2 linked regions of the Oryzias latipes genome follow. The main gene of each other region encodes a partner of the protein of the gene in region 2 in a complex. Links are inferred from orthologs where the notes say so. Each region holds a gene or a part of one and is shown on either strand. Other genes may lie near its edges. The genes, in order: polr3gl and polr3b.

Evidence for each region.
Region 1: polr3b (region 2) and polr3gl share a complex: the UniProt entries of both Homo sapiens proteins name them as parts of the RNA polymerase III (Pol III) complex. The link is inferred for Oryzias latipes from reciprocal best matches to the Homo sapiens genes POLR3B and POLR3GL.

The regions. Positions count from the first base shown.
Region 1 is NC_019874.2:32,576,192-32,580,112, forward strand, and holds the start of polr3gl (DNA-directed RNA polymerase III subunit RPC7-like), read right to left. Parts: upstream 2,702-3,921; 5' UTR 2,543-2,701; exon of another isoform or gene 2,507-2,542; intron 1,564-2,506; 5' UTR 1,521-1,563; coding exon 1,416-1,520; intron 1,165-1,415; exon of another isoform or gene 1,098-1,164; coding exon 968-1,097; intron 890-967; coding exon 821-889; intron 744-820; coding exon 687-743; intron 573-686; coding exon 484-572; intron 419-483; coding exon 284-418; intron 216-283; coding exon 129-215; 3' UTR 1-128. UniProt on the Homo sapiens protein: DNA-dependent RNA polymerase catalyzes the transcription of DNA into RNA using the four ribonucleoside triphosphates as substrates. Specific peripheric component of RNA polymerase III which synthesizes small RNAs, such as 5S rRNA and tRNAs.
Region 2 is NC_019864.2:21,468,883-21,472,803, reverse strand, and holds the start of polr3b (DNA-directed RNA polymerase III subunit RPC2), read right to left. Parts: upstream 2,242-3,921; 5' UTR 2,125-2,241; coding exon 1,999-2,124; intron 1,779-1,998; coding exon 1,746-1,778; intron 1,068-1,745; coding exon 1,011-1,067; intron 929-1,010; coding exon 864-928; intron 791-863; coding exon 715-790; intron 1-714. UniProt on the Homo sapiens protein: Catalytic core component of RNA polymerase III (Pol III), a DNA-dependent RNA polymerase which synthesizes small non-coding RNAs using the four ribonucleoside triphosphates as substrates.

The sequences.
Region 1 (3,921 bases), on a different chromosome or scaffold from region 2:
CAGACTGTTGGCTGCAGGTCGACACACGAGGTCACGTGACCGTCTGTTTATTGGAGCAGCAGGTGACACCAGGTTGGACTGCCTCTTCAGTCACACGCGTGCACGTGGCGTGCACGTGCAGCAGCTGCTCAGTAAATGGCCTCGTCCATGTTGTCGTCGCTGTCGCCGCCGAATTCCTCGCCGTTGTCGAAGTACGACATGATGTAGTCGGTTTCCTGCACAGAGGGTCCAGTTAGACCTGCAGAGCCTCCGTGGTTCTGACCCAGGCCTGCTGACCACGTACCTCCTCCAGTTCTTCCTCATCATACTCCTCCTCTGCCTCTGCTCCCTCCTCCTCCTCCGGCTTCTTCTTCACCCCTCCCTCCTCCTCCTCTGAGCTCTGCTCATGCTCCTCCTTCTTCTCCAGGGTCTGCAGACACTTCCATTAAAGCCATCATCATCATCATCATCATCATCATCAGAGGTTCTATAGAAACCCTTCACCTCCAGTTTGAGCAGCACCTCCTCTTCCTCCTTCTTCTTCTTCTTCTTCTGGACTGGCACAGAACTATCCATGGTGCTGAAGGCCAGACCTGAGGGAGACAGCAGCTGATGCTCACCCCCCTGAGTAATCTGATTACTGCTGATGAATACTGTTCAGACGAGTCAGTAAGGTACCCAGAGTACTGAGTAATGGGATTACTCGCCTTCTCTGACTCTCCTCCTGATGTGGACCTGCAGCTCTCTGGGGAATCGTCTCCAGTCTGAAATCCAGAGACGTGCAGACATGAAGGTTCTGATGGCGTTTTCATTGGATGTTACCGTGGTAACGGCGTCTCACCCAGGTTCCAGTCCGTGAGGCTGTTCGTCTGCTCGCTGCTGTGATATTTGTCCGAGTAGCGCTGAACATCTGCACAGGAAGAAAGCAGGACTTTCAAAATAAGACTGCGTGTGTGTGTGCGCGCGTGTGTGTGTGCACGTGTGTGACCTCGCTGTGCTGCTGCTGGCTTGATGAAGAATGGCAGATTCTTCATCACTCCTCTAAAATCCTGCTTCAGGGCCAATAGATACTCTGCTTCTTCTCCACCTGCCAGGGGGAGGGGCTTCTGCTCCATCACCTGGACACCAAATCCACCAACTTCAAATCCCAGAATTCAGTGCTTCAAAATCAGCGCATTACCCCAACTGTTGGTGTCAGAGCAGAAAAATGTCAGAGCTCCTCTTTCCTGCATCTGTTGTTTGTTACGGTTCACGTCGAGACGATAAATGTCTGCCTAACGTAGACGTCAGTGACATCCCATAATAACCCACAAGGTTCAGAATGACATGAACAGCTTTAACAAACAATGAAAACAACAACAGAGGGATTTCATTCAACCAAAAAGAATAACACTTAAATATAAATGAGGGGTTTTCCTGGTGTGGGCGGGGCTTACAGGAAACACAGGCGTGGGCTGCTGAAGTCCTGGGGGGAGACCTTCTCCCCTGCTGATGCTCGAGTCCGTGCCGAAAGGCCTACGGCCCCGCCCTCGTCCCGCCATGGCTGGTCCCCCTCAGACAAAACCGGACCGAGCCAGAACCGCCCTAAAGACACAACAGGACCCCACTGTAAATCAGGATACGTCCACGGGGTAAGCCCCGCCCCTGTCACACAGCCCAATGACCACTCCCCCTTTTCAGGTCAGAGGGAAGCGCATCAAGGCCTTTCAGGTGTGTTTGATCGTTTTCGGTTGTTCCTTCCATCCCCTCAGAACCTGATGTCATGTAGCGTCTGTTCCAGCAGGTGGCAGTATACAGGCATTTCCAGAGGAAAAAACGGGAATAAACCAGTGACTGCATGTGGGAACTGGACCGAGTGGCCCCGCCCCCTAGCGTTCCAAACAGGAAAATCCCGTAGACATCTACAAACGGCTGTTCCTCAGTCGTTCTATGGGTCAGAGGAACCGCTCTGGATCTGATTCTTTAGAACCTCTTCCTGATAATCCTCATTTTTCATTTCATTTCTGTAGTTCAAGGTATAAACTGACCAATCAGACGCCTCAATGAAAGTGGGTGGAGCCTGCTGACCCTAACCCCAAGTTTGACTGATTTCTGTAACCTGCTTTCAAGTGGGTGTGGCCTTTCAACAAGCTCACTCCTGGTTGGTCAGTGTGGTTGCTATAGAAACGATGACTCAGACCAACTCGGACCAATCACTGGCGGCGGCGTTAAAACGGCGACTGAATTCTGCATTGACTAGATATGGACTAGGAATCGGATCCGTCTCGACAGGGAACCATTCCAGCCCTGATGACGTATGTGATGATGTCACTGACGACACTGCAGCATGTGGGGCCTAAGAACCCACGTTTGAACCCCTGCTTCCTGATGACGTCACGCCTCTCTGGTCGCTGTGGTTCTGAGCTGCTTTCAGAGAAACGAGGAAAATGTTTTGGTTTTTGATTCAGGGGCTTCGGCTGACGTCATCAGCCTCATCGATCAGGCTGATCGTGAAGCTCCATCAGAACCCTGCGGGCTCCCTTCTGACCTGGGCTCGCGCTCGGTCGGGTATGACTCCTCTGACCTGTTCCCGCTTTTCCGTTACGGCTGCAGCTTAGTGCGCGCTCCCGCGGCGCGCTCCATGTTCGGTTCAGACTTTCACAAACTCCACCACGAACGGTTGTTTACCGTCCCCGGACCTCGCTTTACAGGCGCCCCGCCTACTACCCACCGGAAATGTCCTACGGCAGTTTGCGCGCGCTTGCATTCTGCGTTGGGCCGCGCGTTTCTGCCCCCTATCGGACAGGAGGACAGAAATCCAGCTACATTTATGGTCGATAGCAGTGGCGGTTCTACCCTGAATTACTCCCCGCGCGAGACCCCCCCGCCCCCCCCCCCATAGAGTCACTCTGTCCATGTCAACTGACATGTTTTATTGGAGCAGAAGTAGCAGCAGAACAGCAGCAGCAGAACAGCAGCAGCATGCTACCATCACAGCTCATTTAACATTTATGAACTAAGTTTACAACAGCCTTTGGCTGTGTGTGGGGCCATAACCATAACCATAACCATAACCATAGCTGGATCGCAGGCAGTGTTTGGCCGCTCATGCGACTCCTGTGGAGAGTCCTCCTGAGCTGGGGGGCAGGTGCCGCTGTTTCTTTTGTTTCCCATCGTTTGTTTGCATTTCTGCTCTATCCAACCCGCTGACCCCTTGGTGCACCGTTGTCCAGGAGCGGTGCCACGGCCGGGATTTCCGGGGATCGTGTGTGCTCTGTACACCGTTTCAGCGAGTGCCGTCCATCCACGCACTGGGGAGCGGCGTGATGAAGCCGGATCGAGAGCTATCGGAGCGGGTTCCCCCTTCCGGCCTTCTGTGGCCCCGGGCACAACCAGAGCCCAGTGTCCCACCACCCTGGACTGGCGTCGGTTACTGCCACTGTACGCAAGGGGCGTGGCATTGAGCCTGTTGTGCCGCAACAGAGCGCACGGCTGGGTGCAGCTGACTGTGTGGGCTGGGCATGATGGCCCTTGTGGTTTGGTTAACTCTTTTGGGTGTCTTTCAGAATAGGAATTTTAATACTATTTGTAATAAAGGGTGTCTATTTTCTTAAAAGCACAGTCTTGGTTTCCTGTCGGAGAGTCCTGTGCTCTTCATTTTAAGTCTTCTACTGGAGGCATCCAAGGGGAAACCATACTGCCACAGGAATCTTGGTGCTGTGAGCAGAAATTGACGTCAGCGCCAGTTTTGGCCTGTGCTGACTTCACACTACCCTTTATTCTGGAAGTAGATGCCAGCCACAATGGCCTTGGTGCAGTTTTGTCCCAGGAGCAGGGTGGCAGTGTGCGGCCATTGCCATGCCAGTAGGGGGCTAAAAGCTACAGAGCGTAACATGCAGAACTGCAGCTCTATGAAGCTGGAGTTCTTGGCTCTTAAATGGGCCATGATGATTATGAGATAAA
Region 2 (3,921 bases):
ATTATAGTGATAATCTGCCATACAGTGAGCTTTTATTATTTTATTTTATAGGTTCTGAATGAATCTAAAATCAAACAAAAAGTATTGTTTTGATTTTTCTTGAGCCATTGAATGTGGCATAAATTATAAACTACTGAAATGTTATGAGCCAAAGATGCTTACATTTTTGTAATATTATCGTTTGTAACAGAGAAGATGTTGTGATTTACTCAAAGCTTTAGGGAAATTAAAGTGGAAGGTAAAATTGGACTTAAATAATCTTTTACTTTATTTCTACAAAGATAGACCACACAATTTTTTAAGCTTCTTCCTTAAATGGGATCATCTTGTATGTCTGGAAAACTGCACAAATATTGAGCCTATTATCTAATTTATTAAAATTCGGCCAACTGTTTCCAGAATTTCCTACTTATGGACCTTCTAATTGCTGCTGATGGCACCATTAATAGCTTCATGTTTATATTTTCAATCATTAATTCAAACCTGTAGTGTTTTAAATTTAAGACATTTTCAAAAACACAGAAGTGATTTTAGTTTCTAATTTAGACATAAAAATGTATTTATTTCCAAATTTCAATGCAGAAGGATATGGAGAGCATGTATTTAAGTCTTTAGGGCTGTTCAAAATTGCAAAATATTTATTTTCAATTGCATTAATCTAAGATAGGTATATTTAAAGAAAAAAATTATACAGAAATCGGCTGCCTTTCTCACCTCATGAGGAGAGACGGGTCTGGTAACGTTGAAGCTTTCTTCCACATCAGGCATGCCGACATAGATATTTAGATATCTGCAGGGGGTAAAAAATGTGTTGGATATTTGCTATCAGGAAGTTCGGTTTGAATTTCTGTCATTGAACCTACTTCAGGTACCACATGGGATCAGCATCACTGGTGATTTTCTCATTTGCTTTCATGATCTTCTTTATCTGAAAAGGAAGACGTTTGAACAGAAGTGCAAGGACAAACACAGCAAATGTGGCAAACGCTGATGCGGGGATAGAGCCTCACCTCCACATTGATGAAATAGTTGAAGGAGTCGATGTGCTGCTTCACCAAACCCTTCACCTGCAGAACACACAGAAGATCGAACGTAGGCAGAGACAAGAAGAAATACTGATGCTAAAGCATTCAAACAGCAGTCAACTATGCATATCAAAATAATGCTGTTTTTAAAAGATGTTAATGTTTTTCTATATGGTCTCAATTAAATTCTAACATTTTGGTCTGGTTTTACTGTTTAAAAACTTGACAAGGTTAAAACATTTCTGACATCACAAAAATATGAGACATTTGTGGGCCAACACCCTAAAACACCCTAAAATCTATGAAAAGCCGAGCTTTATGCAAACATTGGATATGGTTTTTTAAATTGTTTTTTTTTTACTTGAGATTACAAAAAGATTAAAATTTTATGGAGCCGATTCCCACATCTCAGTTTTAAAGACTCAGTCTATAAATATATGTGGTTTGTCATCTTCATAATAACAACAACAACAATAATAATATTTATTAAAGTAATAGGATGTTTTAAAAACAACGCAAAATGTTTGAATCTTAAACTATAAAAAGAGATCGGATCATGGACAGAACCCTTTTTTTTTAGGATTTCTGAAGTGCTTGCATTTGCATGATTATTGAAGTTCTCTGATTAATTTTAATTATTAGGGCTTTATAGTAGCATAAAAATGCTCAAAATGAATCAAAAAGACTTTCACATGTCCTCAGCCACCCAAACATTATTACCTTCAAAAAGGCTGGTAACAGCTTCCATTTATCCTGTCAATAAAGAAAAAGATGACAGAGAGAGACAGAGCAGAAATTATGAAGAACTAGCAATGAATGAATTAGTCATTTCCTATAGGAACATCATTTGAATTCATTAGAAGTTTATTTATGGCTCGTGAAACAGACTCGTAAGAAATAAGAACATCAACAAGAATCACAACTTTTACTTTGTTGATTCCACCATGAAACTAACACACGCGCACCACCTCACCGCATTGACTCGTCTCGAGGGGCCAAATTGTGTGTTGTTTTTACGCAAACTCACAGCCACGGTGTTGACAGGAGCCGCCAACTCCTGGGGAGTCATGTCTCCAAATTCTTCACCGAGGACCTCCATGGTTAACAATAGCTGGTTAACCTTTAACTCATAAATAAAACAGTCTTACACCGACTGCTGCTGGAAAACCAACGTTCCGTGTATCGCAGTAAAGCATCCGTACATTCGAGGAGGAACGAAAGAAAGGTTCCGCGTGTTTGTCTTTTTCTTTCACTCCCGGTGTTTTGCACTTTTGGGTGGGTACTGCTGCCCCCTAGTGTTGTGGAAGGGTCCCTGCCCGGCTCTGTCTGTTAGTTGCAGTAAGTGCAGAAAAAACGTAAAAGACATATTGAACAACAATTCAAATTGAATCACTGTTTTCATCAGATAGACAAAAAAGGAGATGAAATTACTCAGTCTGTTAGTTTGTGACCGTCAGCAAAGCACAGAGGAGCCGCGGAGTTATAGGCTCCTTTCAGCTATTAGGCTGTTTAACAAATCTGCCTGATATGAACTGCTTTTTTTATGAACTGTTATTTTATTGTTATTTATTGTGTGTGTTTTGCTGCCAGACACCTGAGTATCTCCCTTGGGAGATTAATAAAGTTCATTTTATCTATCTATGGGACATCCTGGGACATCCTCCTTCGTTAGTCAAGTTCTAGTTTCACCTCACTGTCAGTTTCTGTATTAAATTTATCAAATGTTCCAAGGGATTCATAAATATCATATTCATGGTATAATGTTCAGACTATTGTGCATGTGATGACTTACACAATGAAATGATGCTGACTCATTTTGGAGAGAACAACCATTAGACTGAGAATCAACAATCAGTTTAGATCAACAAGATCTATTCACTTGGAAATTGTGCTAAATGAAGGCTACCTGTACTTAATCAATTGCAAAGATGTACTGAGACATTGAGACAAGTACTAAGACATTTGCAATTTGATGAAACTAATGAGAAATTCCATTCTGCTGTGAACAATTGCAGAGTGGTTTGGAAGTTTGTCCATGTTGTTTTGAGAATGTAATTTCTGTTTCAAGAAATGAGCCAAACCAATGGAGAAAAACTGTAATAAGAATGGTTTTGCAATCATAGTTGCTCAATATTTTACAAGAAAAATTGTATGAAGTAATCCATGGAATGCGAGCCGCCTAGTGGGCCAGTTTTGGTAAGCAGAACTGGCGCTGCAGGATGAACCGACCTGCATGCATGTATGCATGCATGCATACATACATGCATACATACATACATACATACATACAGTTAGATATTAACTCTGTTTGTGATTGATATATTTAATTTAGTTTTGCTTTCATACAACCCTCTGCATTTATCCGGACTTGGGACCGGCACAAGAGAGTTGGATTGTGCTCCCCTGTGGTTGCATTACATTCTTTCTTTCATTGATTCATTCATTCATACATTCATTGATTGACTGAGCGATTGATTAATTGACTTATTAATTCATTGACTGATTAATTGATTGATTGACAAATATTAATTTAAATAAACAGTTTTAATTTCTATAATTTTAACAATAAGCAACAATATTAATAAGTGATGAAGAGTTTTTTTTAGGGCAAACCTGAGCTCCAGGAGAAAACCCAAACTAATTTAAACTTCAAACTTTATTGATTTGTATAGTGCCTTTCATTTTGGCTAAAAACACAAAGCGCCTAACATAAAAGCAGATAATAGTCATAAAATACGAAAAAAAATTGAAACAGAAAACACAGGACAATCCCACACAATTTAACATAACTAACAACTAAAAATAAAGTTTAAATTTTTACACTTTTGACAAAAAGCAACAATATTATTAAGCAATGTAGATTTTTTTTATGGCAAACCTGAGCTCCAGGAGAAAA